Linked DNA regions of Stegostoma tigrinum. The main gene of each other region encodes a partner of the protein of the gene in region 2 in a complex. Links are inferred from orthologs where the notes say so. Each region holds a gene or a part of one and is shown on either strand. Other genes may lie near its edges.

Region 1 (7,548 bases), on a different chromosome or scaffold from region 2:
ATGGGGTTGAGACCCAGGGAGATAAGTGTGGAAAGAGAGCAGTCTGAGAATGATACAGTCGGGAAATGGAGCAAGTCAAACAGTTGGGGCAGGCAGGAACAAAGTAGAGAATGAGGAAGGACTGATATGTTAAACTGCATTTATTTCAATGCAAGACACCCAATAGGTAAGACAGATGAACCCGGGGCATGGTTAGAAACATGGGATTGGGATAACATAGCAAATATAAAGAGACGTGGCTCAGGGGTGGACAGGACCAACCGCTTGCTGTTTTAACAGCATCGATGCTATAGGAAGAATGGGGCGGGGGTGTGGGGGGAAAAAAAAAAGGAGGAGAGATTGCTGTGGGGAGTGGTGGTGGGAAGAGGGGACGGGTATTGGTGTTTATGTCCAGACGGGTAATTTGGGTGGAACTGAGAAGAAAGAAAAGAAATGACAAACCTTATTGGGATCGTAATATAGATGTCCCCGGTAAATCAGCAGGAAATTGAAAAAAGAACAACTTTGTACGGAGGTGTCAGTTATCTGCAAGAATAATAGGGTGGTTATGGTAGGGGATTTTAATTTTCCAAAAGTGGACTGGCACTGCCAGAGTGTTAAAGGCTTGGATAAAGAGGAATTTGTTAAGTATGCACAAGAAAATTTTCTTATTCAGTATGAGGATGTACCTACTAGAGAAGGTGCAAAACTTGACCATCTCTTGGGAAATGAGGCAGCGCAGGTGACTGAGGTGTCAGTGGGGGAACACTTTGGGGCAAGTGATGATAATTAAAATAGTGATGCAAAAGGATAGACTGGATCTAAAAGTTAAAAGTTTAAATGGAGCTAGGGCAATTTTGATGGTATTAGGCAAGAACTTTCAAAAGTTGATGGGGTCAGATGTTCGCAGGAAAAGGGATGGCTGGAAAATGGATAACATTCAAAATTGAGATAATGAGAGTCCAGAGACAGTATGTTACTGTTAGGGTGAAGGACAAGGCTGATAGGTATAGGGAATGCTGGATGACTAGAGGTTTCCATCAAGAAAAAGGAGGAAGCATACATCAGGGATACATAGTAGAGATCGAGTGAATCCCTAGAAGAGAGTATAACAACAGTAGGAATATACTGAAGAGGGAAGTCATGACGGCAAAAAGAGAGAGACAGGAACGTGAAATAGCTTTTGCAAATGTAGTTAATGAGAATCCAAAAGAAATCTAAAGTTACATTAAAGACAGAAGGGTAACTAGGGAGAGAATACAGCCACTTAAAAATCAGCAGGGCTACCTACACGTGAGACCACAGGAGATGGAGCAGAAACTAAATGAGTATTTTGCATTAGTGCTCATTGTGGAGAAGAATATGGAAGTTAGAGAACTTGGGGGATAAATAGCACCATCTTGAAAAATGTCCATATTTCAGAGGAAGAAGTGTTGAATGTCTCAAACACAAAATGTAGATAAATCCCCAGGACCTGATCAGGTGTAATCTAGAACTCTGGGGGATGCAAGGCAACAGATTGCTGGGACCGTTGCTGAGATACTGTATCAATAGCCACAGGTGAGGTGTCGTAAGACTGGTAGTTGGCTAATGTTGTGCCACTATTTAAGAAAGGAGGCAAAGAAAAGCCCGGGATTGTAGACCAGTGAGACTGGCATCAGTGGTGGGCTGAGACAAGGTCTTATTCCTGGGTGGATGTGTCTAAAGTTAGACAGCATAGGTTTAAGTTGAGAGCAGAGAGATTTTTAAAAAGAGACCTAAGGGGCAAAATTTTCATGTAGTGTGGTTTGTGTATGGAATGAGCTGCCAGAGGAAGTGATGGAGGCTGGTACAATTACAACATTTAAATAGCATCTGGATGGGTACACGAGTAGGAAGGATTTAGGGCCAAACGCTGGTAAATATGACTAGATTTATTCAGGATATCTGGTCAGCATGGATGAATTGGACTAGAGGGTCAGTTTTCACGCTGTATATCTCTATGCCTCTGCCTCTCAATCATTTCCCACTCCCACACCCCTCACTGAGCTTTTGATCATGAGGCTCCCCATCATATTTTGCTCTATAATGTCTGTGAAGTGCTTAAGGTTATTCCATTACATTCAAAAAGGTGCAACATGGAGAAGTTTAGCATCTGTGGAGAGAGCGAGACAACATTTTGAGTCAGGTATGCCTTCATCAGAACTGAAAACTGGAAATGTTTTTTTTAAAAAAATACTTTTTGACAAAAGACAGTCGATGAGCAAGAGCGAAGATTGTATGGAGGCCCAAAGCAAAATACAAGAGGGTTGTTAATAGTGGAAAAGATGCAAGGGTTGTATGGTGGCTTAGTGGTTAGCACTGCAGCCTCACAGCACCAGGAACCCGGGTTCGATTCCAGCCTCGGACAACTGTGTGGAGTTTGCACATTCTCCCCGTGTCTGCGTGGACTTCCTCCTACTGTCCAAAGATGTGCAGGTTAGGTGGATTGGCCTTGCTAAATTGCCCGTAGTGTTCAGGGGTGTGTGGGATGCTTCAAGGGGCGGTGTGGACTTGTTGGGCCGAAGGCCCTGTTTCCATACTGTAGGTAATCTAATCTAATCAAATCAAAATGTCAGCTTTTGTGCTCCTGAAATGCTGCTTGGCCTGCTGTGTTCATCCAGCTTCACACTTAGTTATCTTAAATCAAAATGTGAATTGAGATGTGAAAAGCAGCGAACTGACCCTTTCTACTAAGTGCAACGTAAGCAAGACAAACAACACGGCTAGGAGATGCGGCGAAGACAGAGGTTAAATACTCTCATTGCTCGAAGTCTTAAAAGCATGGAAATTTTCATAGCATCAGTGACGACCTTTCTTCACTCAGAATTTTTACAACGCGAAAACGGCCCCGACCTTGTCATCGTAGCCAACCACACAAAAACTACCTGCTTTCCAGTCCCACAGAATCTACTGCTTCTTGCTTCACTGTCACGTCAGCCATGATTTCAGTTGTACAGCATGACAATATATTGGTGGCTGAAGGGTTTGTTTGCGGATCTGGTCTGTAGCGGTGCTGACTGGCCCCCTCGGTCCGATATTGCAATTCTTGCGTTTCAACGTTGTATCAAACCTCAGCGTGAATGTTCCAAATTGCACGCTCACCCTCCAGCTCCGGGGTAAACGATCTACAGCAGCAAATTACTTCAGCCTCTTGAACTAGGGGACCTTTCATTCTGCAGTCTCAATCTCTTATTGGGCAAGAGATTCATTTGCCAGTCTACACTCCTCGCTTCCCGTCGTTAATTACAAGCAGTTTTTTTTTTCTGCTGCCGTATCTTACAAGACAGTTCTGAAAATAGTGAAAGACCAAAGAGGCACACGTTTAGTTCAATAGATAGCCTTCCCCAGCTCGACTTTTCTTCCTCTCCGGCAATCTGAGAAGCAGCTGTTTAATTTGAGCTGGGGCCTAACCAGGGTTTGGCGCTTTTGCGGACTCTGTTCGCCCTTTGAAACACAATCACGTGACAACACGTTTACCATCCCTCCGGGAGTAACCTGGGAGCGGAAAAAGGATGCATTAAAAATACATTAATTTAGTTTACGATTTAGCTTTGTTTTGCATGGCAAGTCGCTTTATGTAGGATATATTAATGGTGCAGCAAGGTTAAACAAAAGAAACTGGTCAGTAGACCCGAAACGTTAACTCTAAATTTTTCTTCAGAGGCTGCCAGATATGCTGAGCTTTTCCAGCAACCTGTTTTTGTAAACAAAACTGGATCTCATTCACTAGTTAGATTTAAGGCAATTTAATAACGGGAGCAAGAGTGAGGAAGAATAAGTGTAATGTGACTGAAGTTTAATTTCACATTAGGCGCACAAGAAAAAGGCGGGGGTGAGGAAGAGAAGGAGAAATTTCGGGTTAAGAGCAAGAGCAAACAAAGTAAAAATAAAATGCTTGTAAATAATTCGCTGAGCCACACAGTTACTCCCATCAATTTAACACTTACCGGATTAAAGTGTTGAGAGACTGATCACTAAACTTATCTTTATGTGGTGACTTCAGTTTTTATTACGGAATTGCAGCAACTTCACGCCACCAATAACTGTGAAGACAGCCGTTTACTTGAAACCAACTGGAGTACCATAACCCAGCAACCTTTTGGCTCTTTTAGTTTTTAATCATGCATCTTCTCCTCACCTGAAGCTATTTATGCAGAGCACCTACATTTTGTATTATTATTTATACAAGTTCCATTTGGAAGTTAGTCCAAAATCCAATTCCACCACCCCTTCAAGTTAATGCATTTCAGATTCAAATTCTCACATTAAAAAGATGGGACAAGGAACAAAGTTTTTTTGGGGAATACAAATAAATCAATCACTGGTAATCTAAATATTTGTCAAAAAAATTAAGCATTAAGATACACTGGATACTGCAAAGGCTAGAGGCCCTGACAACGTTCTGGCAATAGTACTGAAGACTCATGGTCCAGAACTTGTTACTCCCCTAAGCCAAGCTGTTCCAGTATTGTTACAACATTGGCCTCTAACCAAAAGTGTGGAAAATTGTCCACAAATGTCCTGTACACAAAAACAGGACAAACCCAACCCAGCCAACTACTACTCCATCAGTCTATTCTCAGTCATCAGTAAAGTGATGAAAGGTGTCATCAACAGTACTATCAAGCAGCACCTGCTCAGTGACAACAAGGTGTAGAACTGGATGAACACAGCAGACTGAGCAGGAAGGCTCATGTTTCAAGCCTAGACCCTTCTTCAGAAGTCAGGGAGGGGAAGGGGGCTCTGAAATAAATAGGGAGAGAGGGGAGGGGGGGGGGGTAGAGGATGGAGAGATGAGAAGATAGGTGGAGAGGAGACAGGCAGGTCAAAGAGGCAGAGATGGAGCCAGTAGAAATGAGTGTAGGTGGGGAGGAGATAGGTCAGTCCAGGGAAGACGGACAGGTCAAGGGCGTGGGATGAAGTTAGTAGGTAGGAGTTGGGGGAGGGGCTTGAGGTGGAAGGAGGGGATAGGTGGGAGGAAGGACAGGTTAGGGAGTTGGAGACGAGCGGGGCTGACTGTGGAATGTAAGGAGAGGGGAAATTTTGAAGCTTGTGAAGTCCACATTGATACCATTGAGCTGCGGGGTTCCCAAGCGGAATATGTGTTGCTATTCCTGCAACCTTCAGGTGGCATCATTGTGGCACTGCAGGAGGCCCGAGGTGGACATGTTGTCTGAGGAATGGGAGGGGGAGTTGAAATGGTTCGCGACTGGGAGGTGCAATTGTTTAGTGCAAACCGAGCATAGGTGTTCTGCAAAGCAGCCCCCCCCCCAAGCCTCCGCTTGGTTTCCCCAATGCAGAAGAGGCCATAACGGGAACAGCGGATGCAGTATACCACATTAGCAGATGTGCAGGTAAACATCTGTTGATGTGGAAAGTCTTCTTGGGGCCTGGGATGGGGGTGAGTGAGGAGATGTAAGGTCACGTGTAGCGCTTCCTGCAGTTGTAGGGAAAAGTGCTGGGTGTGGTGGTGCCGGAGGGCAGTGTGGAGTGGACAAGGGAGACACAGAGAGAGTGGTCCCTCCAGAAAGCAGATAAGGGTGGGAAGGGAAAAATGTGGAGTGGTGGGGTCGGATTGCAGATGGCGGAAGTGTTGGACGCTGATGGGTTGGATCTGGAGGTTGGTGGGGTGGTATGTGAGGACGAGGGGGATTCTGGTTTGGTTGTTATTGTTGAGAGGGGGTGTGAGGGATGAGTTGCGGCTGACACGATCGAGGGTGTTCTCGACCACTGATTGGGGGAAGTTGCGGTGCTTGAAAAATGAGGACATCTGAGATGTACGGGAGTGGAATGCCTCATCCTGGGAGCAGATGCGGTGGAGATGAAGGAATTGGGAATAGGGAATGGCATTTTTGCAGGAAGATGGGTGGGGGGAGGTGTATTCTAGGTAGCTGTGAGAGTCGGTAGGTTTGAAATGGATCTTGGTTTCTAGGTGGTTGCCAGAGATGGAAACAGAGAGGTCCAGGAAGGAGAGAGGGGTATTGGAGATGGTCCAGGTGAACTTAAGTTTGGGGTGGAAGGTGTTGGTGAAGTGTATGAACTATTCAAGCTCCTTGTGGGAGCATGAAGCAGCGCCGATACAATGATCAATGTAACGGAGGAAGAGGTGGGGTTTAGGGTCAGTATAGGTAGGTAAGAGGGATTGTTCCACATAACCTACGAAGAATTCTCGGTTCGCACTAAACAACTGCACCTCCCAGTTGCAAACCATTTCAACTCCCAGTTCCATTTCTCGGACGACATGTCCATCCTGGACCTCCTGCAGTACCACAACAATGCTACCCAAAGGTTACAGGAACAGCGACTCATATTCTGCTTGGGAACCCTTGTTTGTTCAAATATGAGCAAAACAGCTGAATTCCAGAGGTAAGGTGAGAGTGTCAGCCCTTGATATCAAGACTGCATTCAACTGAGTGTGGCATCAAGGAGCCATAGCAAACTTGGAATCAATGGGTGTCAAGGGGCAAACTCTCTAGTGGTTGGATTCATACCTGACACATAGAAAGATGGTCATGGTTGCTGGAGGTCAATCAAGGTGAGTAACTCATCTGACTCCTCAAAGCCTGTCCACCATCTACAAGGCACAAGTCAGGAGTGTGATGGAATACTCCCCACTTGCCTGGATGAGTGCAGCCCTAACAACTCTCAAGAAGCTTGACACCATCCAGGACAAAGCAGCCCACTTGATTAGCACTACATCCACAAGTATCCACTCCCCCACCACTGATGCTCAGTAGCAGCAGTGTGTACTACCGACAACTTGCACTGCAGAAATTCACCAAAGATCCTCAGACTGCACCTTCCAAACTGACAACTACTTCCAACTAGAAGGACAAGGGGATCAGCCATATGGGAAGACTACAACCTCCAAGCCACTCACCATCCTGACTTGGAAATATATTGCCGCTCCGTGACTGTTGCTGGGTCAAAAATCCTGGAATTCCCTCCCTAATAGCATTGTGGGTCAACCCACAGCAGGTGGACCGCAGTCATTCAAGAAGGCAGCTCATCACCACCTTCTCCAGGGCAAGTAGGAATGGGCAAGAAATGCTGGCGAGCCAGAGATGCCCAAATCCCACAAATGAATAAGGGAAAAAAATGGTTTGATACAGCTTTAGTGAGGGAATTCCAGATCTTCAGATGTAGACAGCCTGAAGAAGGTTATTACCAACAAAACTTCTCAAGACTATAAAGTGTGCAAAGAAAACACATGGGTCCATTATGGAAAGAATAAAACAACAATCAACAGGTATTATTACATTTTTATTGAACTTTGCTTGCATAGTTGGAGTACTCCATCCAAATTTTGGTCTTCACATTGCAGGAGGGATAGTGAAGTACTGAATAAATGCAGAAAAAAAAACACTGGGGTGATCGGATTTACAGAATTAACCAGATGTTGATATTAGAAAAAATGATCTAGTGATTGGTATAGACAGGTACAATGATTTTAGAAATAAAGGGCTGAGTAGACCGAGGAGAGGTCTTAAAATTGTAAAACGGCTCAATAGGGCAGATGGGGGAAACTGTTTCCACTTGTGTGTGAGT
Region 2 (8,361 bases):
CTCTCCATAACCCTGCACATTCTTTGCTTTTAGAGCACTCTCTTTTGAAAGCCTGAATGGCTTCACACTCTCAGGCACATTCCTGATCCTAATCACTCACTACATAAAAACGTTTAATCCTCCCATGGCCTTGGCTGGTTTTGCCACTTCTCTTGCATCTGAGCACTTCAATTCCTAACCTACCAACAATGGGAACTGTTTCGCACACACGGCCCTCGCCGCACCCCTCCCACCCCATCTACTTTGTCCAGATTCTGAAAATCTCCAAATGGTACTGACCTTTTTCATCCCTCCCAGTGTTAGGTCCCGTGAGCGGATGGAGGGCAGGCGGCCTGGGGTAACGGTGGCAGAGCTCCGTCGACCTGGCAGGCCCCTAGCTACTGTTACAGCGGGCCTGATGGTGCTGGGATGGCCAGCACCTCCACTGGGGCCTTGCTCAGACATCGCTGCTTCGCAATCTGCACGACAAAGAACAAATTAGTACCGCGGCAAAAACTGTGCCAGTTGGGGAACAGAGGAGATCTCACAAAACCAGAGCCTTAGAACCTCATCTGAGGGCATACCTGTACAGGAGAATCTCCAAGCTTTACCATAACCGTGGGCATATGTATTATCACAAATTTGGCAACCTCTGCAGAGGTTGCTCCAAGCTGGTCAAAGAACCAAAATGCTGCTGTGATGAATACAGCCAGGATCAAGCTTCTGCCATGGACATCATAAAACAGCAGATCAAAAGCCACTGTGGAATACAGAGTGGCTCACAGAAACACTGCATTTGGCCCATCAAATCGATGCCAACTCTTTGCAGAAGCACAAAGTGATGTAACGCAAGCAGCCAGGAACAGAGTGCTACAAGAAGCAGACTGTGGTGCTGCCATTCTGAGGCAAATATTTTCAATCGACATATTCAGGGGATTGCCTTTTTCTTACATCTGCTGAGACTCCAGCTTCCAACAGCAAGGCAATAGCTGCCATGTAGCTTCAGCCAGTCTTTCAGTTGTGCTGTCTCACTGAATCTTACAGTACACAGCTCCAAACAACTTTTGTTTTGTTTACTTGATTCAATATTTTGAGACACTTGGGGTAAACATTTATACACAACACTCGAGAAACTGAACCCGTCTAAGACAAAGCATCCGACTGGATTTACACCCCAACCACAATCAAAAACTAGGGACGACCTTGGCAGAACTAAAAGGGGAGGGAGGTAAAATTAGGCTCGGATGTAAATGTTTTGCGTAGCTGGATGCTTTCCAACATCAAAGAGGATTTCGTGATAAGACCAGTCTTTGTGAAGCTTCAACTCCCCAGCCCCTCCAAATGGTCTTCCCCATCCCAATTTCCGCCATCCCCCAACACTCCTAACAACTGTCCCCTCCCTCCTCCTTTCCACCCAACATCCTATAGCTCCCCTTAACTTCCCTTCCCCACCTCTTCCCCAGCTGCTTTCTCTCCTCTCACTACTCCTTCCTAAACCCCTTCCTTTCCCTCCCCAATCCGTCCTTCCTTCCCTGTCTCCCCCTTCCCCCACCTCCTCTTCCCTTCCGCCCTCCCACAGTCCCCCATCTCTCCTTGCTCCCCAGCTCCCCTCCAGCCAATCCCCCTCCCTGCATCTCCACTGCCCTGCCAATATCCCCTCCCACCTGCCCCTTGCCAACCTTTCCCCCTCCCCCTCCCCCTTCCCATCCTTACCCACCTCCCCCTTCCCCAGCACCTCCCTCTTCCCCCATCCTACCCCTTGCCCCCTTCCCAACCTTACCCCCCTCCCACTTCCCCAGCTCCTCCCTCTTTCTCCGTTCTCCCCGCTTGCCCCTTTCCCCTCACCCCCCTCCTCCTCTGCCCCCCGCTTGCCCCCTCCCACTTGCCCAGCCCCTCCCTCTTCCCCCCACTTGCCCCCTCCCACTTCCCCAGCTCCTCCCTCTTCCCCCCACTTGCCCCCTCCCACTTCCCCAGCTCCTCCCTCTTCCCCCACTTGCCCCCTCCCACTTCCCCAGCTCCTCCCTCTTACCCCTGCTTGCCTCCTCCCACTTCCCCAGCTCCTCCCTCTTCCCCCTGCTTGCCTCCTCCCACTTACCCAGCTCCTCCCTCTTCCCCCCGCTTGCCCCGCTCCTCCCTCTTCCCCCCGCTTGCCCCCTCCCACTTCCCCGCTCCTCCCTCTTCCCCCCACTTGCCCCCTCCCACTTGCCCCCTCCCACTTCCCCAGCTCCTCCCTCTTCCCCCCGCTTGCCCCCTCCCACTTCCCCGCTCCTCCCTCTTCCCCCACTTGCCCCCTCCCACTTCCCCCCTCCCACTTACCCAGCTCCTCCCTCTTCCCCCCGCTTGCCCCCTCCCACTTCCTCCCACTTCCCCGCTCCTCCCTCTTCCCCCACTTGCCCCCTCCCACTTCCCCCCTCCCACTTACCCAGCTCCTCCCTCTTCCCCCGCTTGCCCCCTCCCACTTACCCAGCTCCTCCCTCTTCCCCCCCGCTTGCCCCCTCCCACTTACCCAGCTCCTCCCTCTTCCCCCCACTTGCCCCCACCCACTTCCCCAGCCCCTCCCTCTTCCCCCCGCTTGCCCCCTCCCACTTCCCCAGCTCCTCCCTCTTCCCCCCGCTTGCCCCCACCCACTTCCCCAGCCCCTCCCTCTTCCCCCCGCTTGCCCCCACCCACTTCCCCAGCCCCTCCCTCTTCCCCAGCCCCTCCCTCTTTCCCCCGCTTGCCCCCTCCCACTTCCCCAGCCCCTCCCTCTTTCCCCCGCTTGCCCCCCCCACTTCCCCAGCCCCTCCCTCTTTCCCCCGCTTGCCCCCCCTACTTCCCCAGCCCCTCCCTCTTTCCCCCGCTTGCCCCCCCCACTTCCCCAGCCCCACCCTCTTTCCCCCGCTTGCCCCCCCCACTTCCCCAGCCCCTCCCTCTTTCCCCCGCTTGCCCCCTCCCACTTCCCCAGCTCCTCTTTCTTCCCCCATTTGCCCCCTTCCCCACCTCCTCCCCTCCCCAACCTTACCCCCCCACTTCCCCAGCTCCTCCCACTTCCCCGTTCTCCCCAGTTGCCCCTCCCCCTCTCCTCCGACTTCCCAACCTCGCCACCCCCCACTTCCCAACCTCGCCCCCCCAGCTCCTCCCTCTTCCCTGTCCTCACCTCACCCCCCTCCTCCCTTTCTCCTTTCCCCGCTCCTCCTCTTCCCCCGTTCTTCCCCTCCCCAACCTTGCCCCTCTCCCATTTTCCCAGCTCCTACCCCTCGTCCCCTACCCTTAGGCACTCTCAGGCCTTACAGCTTCCTGGATCACTGGGCAGCAATTATCTGATGAAGGGTCTAGGCCCGAAACGTCAGCCTTCCTGCTCCTGAGATGCTGCTTGGCCTCCTGTGCTCATCCAGCTTCTCACTTTGTTACCTGATGAAGGCCTGTAATCCTCGAACCTGGCAGCACGGCCGCGAGCCCACACTGCTCTCGAGTTCTCCCCAAAGGCCGATTACCGCCTCTTTACTCTTGTTTCTTTTTCCCGTCTCGGTCCTCCAGCCGTTTCACGTCCGAGCGAGGCCGCTGTGAGCCGCCATGTTTGTACGGGGCAAATCCAGCTCTCCGCCTGCGCCCTAGGGGGTCAGGTGGCCGGCATTTTGCCCCGCAACAAGATGGCGCCTGGCAGCGGGGCGGCGCTGAAGGCAATGTTGCCGGTTCGTTCGGTGGGAAAGTGAAGAAACTGAATGAAAATTGTAGCTCTGCATTGATCTTGTTGCAAAGGAGCTCCAACGGAAAGCGAGTGACAATAGGGAGTATTACTGGGTAAAAATATGTAGCATCCATTGGAAGTGCGTCAACAGTTTTGTTTTGGGGCTCAGCTGTCAGCATTCCACTGATCTGATGCCATTTTCATGTAATGCATCAGTAGTAAATGTGTACAGAACCCCTAGAGCAGCTTGATTTTATAAATACAGAAATTAGGCACTAAAATTAAAACAAAGGACTGCGGACGCTGGAGATCTGATTTTTTAAAAAGTGGGGAACAAGTTGAGTTAACGTGTCGAGTCCAGTGACTAATTTGTCCGTAGTGCCCAGGGATGTGCAGGCTAGGTGGATCAGGCATTGGAAGTACAGGCTTGCTACGACAGGGTAGGGTGGTGTGTCTGGGTGGGAGGATCAATGTGGACTCGATGGGCCAAATGGCCTACTTCATCAATGTAGGGATTCGATGACTCTCCCCTCAGATACTGCCACAACTGCGAAATTTCAGCATAAATTAAGGCAAGGGTCCGCTAATCCAGAATAGCATTAATGGGGGAAGTTTAACTTTAATATTGATTGGGAGAGGCAGACAAGCACCGTCACACAGGTAGTGAATTTCCAGAGTGCATCTGGGACAGTTTCCTACAGCATTTGGTTCTGAATGCAACAAGGGGACAAACAAAATTTGATTTATTCATGAGTAATGAATCAGATTTAGTTAGTTACCTAATTGTGCACAACCGTTTATCAAATACTGATCATAACATGATTGAATTCGATGCAGCATTTGAAAGCATAAAACAGAGGCAGCTTTATGAGCAGCATGAAGAGTTTTACATTTAGGTAAGACTGACTTGAATGACATGACACAGAGACTATCCACAGTAAACTAGGCAAATCTGCTCACGAGTAAAACAACTAAAGAGCAGTGGAGGATGTTTAAAGAAACATTTAATACAAAATCAGTTTATACCGTCTGCTCTGGAAGATTAGGTTGCATGGAACCCAGGGAGATCTGGCAAATTGGATACACAGTCAGCTTGTTGATAAGAACTAGAGAGAGTAATAGTGAAAGGATGCTTGTCGGACTGGTGGCTAGTGGTGTGCCTCAGGGGCCAGTGCTGGGACCATTGCTATTTGTTATCTGTATCAATGATTTGATTGAGAATAGTAAGTTTGGGGATGACACGAAGATATCGTGGACAGTGAGGAAAGTTATCAGAAATTACAGCAGGATTTTGATCAGCTGGGGAACTGGGCTCAGAAATGGCAAATGGAATTTAAAACAGATAAGTGTGAGGTGTTGCATTTTGGAACGTCAATGCCGGAGTTTCATGGTGAATGGAGTGTAGTGGAACAGAGGGACTTGGGAGTTCAGGTGCACGGTTCTCTGAAAGTGGAGTCACAGGTAGACAGGGCAGTGAGAAAGGCTTTTGGAACACTGGCCTTCATCAGTGAGGGCACTGAGTATAGATGTTGGGAAGTTATGTTGCAGTTGTACAGGATGTTGATGAGGCTGCACTTGAAATATTGTGTTCAGTTTTGATCACCTTGTTATAGTAAGGATGTTATTAAACTGGAAAGATTGCAGAAGAAATTTACAAGGATATTGACAGGACTCAGCTATAGGACTGAGTTATAGGCAGAGGCTGGACAAGCTAGGACTGTTTACATTAGAGCGTAGAAGACTGAGGGGCTAACTTATATAAGTCTATAAGATCATGAGAGGCATTGATGGGGTGAATGCAATCAGTCTTTTTCCCTAATTTGGGGAATTAAGGACAAGATGGCACCAGTTTCAGGCAAGGGGGCAAGAATACATGGGAACCTGAGGAGCAATATTTTTACACAGAGTATGGTACGCATATGGAATGAGTTGCCAGGGGAAATGGTTGAGGCGGGTACATTAACAACATTTAAAGGCATTTGGATGAATACATGGATAGGAAAGGTTTGGAAGGACAGAGGCAAGTGCAGGGAAATGGGGTTAGTGTGGTAGGACATTTTGGTTGGCATGGACCAGTTTGGGCCGAAGGGCCTGTCTCCATGCTATCGGACTCTATGTCTCAAAGAGGAAAAGCTCCACTTCACATAAAAGTGGTCAAGAGACATAAAACTGAAATCAAGAGCTTACAAAAATGCAAAAAGAAACATAGATCCCGGTGAATGGGAAAGATACAAAGATCAGCAAAAGACCACAAAGCAACTTATACAAGCAAGTAAAAGGAACTGTGAAAGAAAACTTGCCAGGGATATCAAAATCAAAAAGAGGAAACATTATAGTTACATAAAGGGAAATTGGGTAGTCGGCAACAATTTTGACCCACTAAAGACTGAAAGTGGGAAGGTTTTTGAGATTTGTAGCTCGGATTGTACATACTCGAATAGCACATTGCGGCATTATCTCTGACAGGCCACAACAGAAAGACACAACACGGCCAGACACACTAGTCACCCAACCATACATTAGGAACATATCAGTGATGACCACAAGACAACTCAGGCCCCTAAGTATCAGGGTAGATCACAACCCAATAACCACCCTGCAACAGCAACTGACGAATGTAAAGGACCCCATTCCCACAAACAATACAACAAATGTAATATACAAAATACCATGTGTGAGAAACATTACATAGGCCAAATTGGAAGAAAACTGGCAATAAGAATACATGAATGCCAAGTAGCCACCAAGAGACATGACCAATTCTCACTGGTCTCAATGCACATGGAAAAAGAAGGGCACAGATTCGACAGGGACAACACATCCATAATAGCACGAACCAAGTAGAGACATGCCAGGGAATTCCTAGAGGCCTGGCAATCCAACCGGAACTCCGTCAACAAACACAGTGAACTGGACCCGATATACAAACCAATGAAGAACAAAACTGGAAGTCATACCACCACCCTACTAAACCAAAGCATATAAATAACAAATGGGTCAGAACACCAACGCTTCACTGTCAGCGCACTGACATTGTCCCCTAGCAGAGTGACGAAACATCTGCAATCAAACATGCTGGCTTGGAGAGCAAGCCTGCAACCTCACCGAAAGTGGGAATATTGTCAATGACCACTAGGAATTGGCAGACATGTTGAACAATTGCTTTACCTGAGTTTTTATGATTAAAAAAGAGAACAGCTTGCCATAAGTCTGAGAAAATTAAATGTGGATTGGGAACAGGGACTGAATAAAATTAATGTATGTAAATCATTGAGGAAATTAATGGAATTAAAGACTTATAAACTCCCAGGACCTGACGGTTTCTATCTAAGGGTGTTAAAGCAGATAGGAGAGTCCATTGTAGATGTCCTAACTATAATCTTTCAGAGTTCTCTAGATACAGGACTCATCCCTCTGGATTGGAAAGTTGAATATGTCACACTGCTTTTTAAGAAGGGCAAAAGACAAAAACCAAGGAATTACAGACCAGTTAGCCTAACATCTGTGTTGGGGAAATTGCAGAGGTAACTAAGGTAATTCTGGTCTGGACAAGGACAAATCAGGGTACTTTCTGGATGCTTAAATACAGTGTTTGTCCAAAGAGACTTGGGGTTCAGTTGCAAACATCTTTAAAATGTCATGAGCAGGCACAGAAAATAATCAAGGAACCTAATGGAATCCTGGCCTTTATATCTAGAGGACTGGAGTTCAAGGATGCAGAAGTTTTGCTATGGATGTACAAAACTCTGGTAAGACCTGCTGTGGGCATCTGAGAAAGAATATATTAACCTGAAAGGGGGTAAAATGTAGATTTACAAGAATGATACCTGGTCTTCAGAGTTAAGTTATGAAGAGACATTATACAAATTAGGCCTGTTTTCTGTTGAATTCAGAAGATTAAGGGATGACCTGATCAAAGGCTTCAAGATAATACAAAGAAAAGAAAGGGTAGATAAAGATAAACTATTTCCACTGGTTGGGGATTCTAGACCTAGGGGGCATGGCCTGGGAATTAGGGCTAAATGTAGGAGTGATGTTAGGAAGTACTACTACACTCAAAAGGTGTAGATGTTTTCAACTCTTTTCAAGTGGCAGTGGATACAGGATCAATTATTAATTTTAATTCTTATATGAATTTTGCTTAAGCAAAGGCATTAAAGGATATGGGTCAAAGGTAGGTTCATGGAGTTAGGCCACAGATCACCATGAGCTCATTAAATGGTGGACAGGATTGAGGGGCTGAATGGCCTACTCCTGTTCCTACGTTCCTGTTTTCTCACAACCCCTTTAGCTTCTTGTGTAAGACTTATTCAGCACACATTCCCAGTTTAGCAGCTACTTGGTACGTGACTCCAATTTAGTACACTGTAACAATATTGTGGCTGCTGCCACTGCCATACACTTAAAATTGAAAACTCGCAAACATATCTTCATTACTATGGATGGAAGAAACAAGTCAATTAAAGAACTATAAAGTACTATAAAGAACAAGAAGCTAATTAATTTTTAAAAATCATTTGAACTTTTACAGCATCTTTCACAATTGCAGAATGTCCTAAAGGACCAACGAGATACTTTTTGAAAGGTAACCTCAGTTGCAATATACAAATCGCATCAGCCTATTTTCACACAGCAAACTTTCACAAACAGAGATGTGTTGATGAACATCAATCTCTTTTGTGATGTCTGCTGCAGGATAAACATGGTCAGGTCAC

Evidence for each region. The genes of interacting proteins can lie anywhere in the genome.
Region 1: polr3d (region 2) and polr3f share a complex: the UniProt entries of both Homo sapiens proteins name them as parts of the RNA polymerase III complex. The link is inferred for Stegostoma tigrinum from reciprocal best matches to the Homo sapiens genes POLR3D and POLR3F.

The regions. Positions count from the first base shown.
Region 1 is NC_081362.1:22,718,708-22,726,255, reverse strand, and holds the start of polr3f (DNA-directed RNA polymerase III subunit RPC6), read right to left. Parts: upstream 3,357-7,548; 5' UTR 2,942-3,356; coding exon 2,886-2,941; intron 1-2,885. UniProt on the Homo sapiens protein: DNA-dependent RNA polymerase catalyzes the transcription of DNA into RNA using the four ribonucleoside triphosphates as substrates.
Region 2 is NC_081393.1:16,508,602-16,516,962, forward strand, and holds the start of polr3d (DNA-directed RNA polymerase III subunit RPC4), read right to left. Parts: upstream 3,589-8,361; 5' UTR 3,370-3,588; intron 459-3,369; 5' UTR 445-458; coding exon 280-444; intron 1-279. UniProt on the Homo sapiens protein: DNA-dependent RNA polymerase catalyzes the transcription of DNA into RNA using the four ribonucleoside triphosphates as substrates.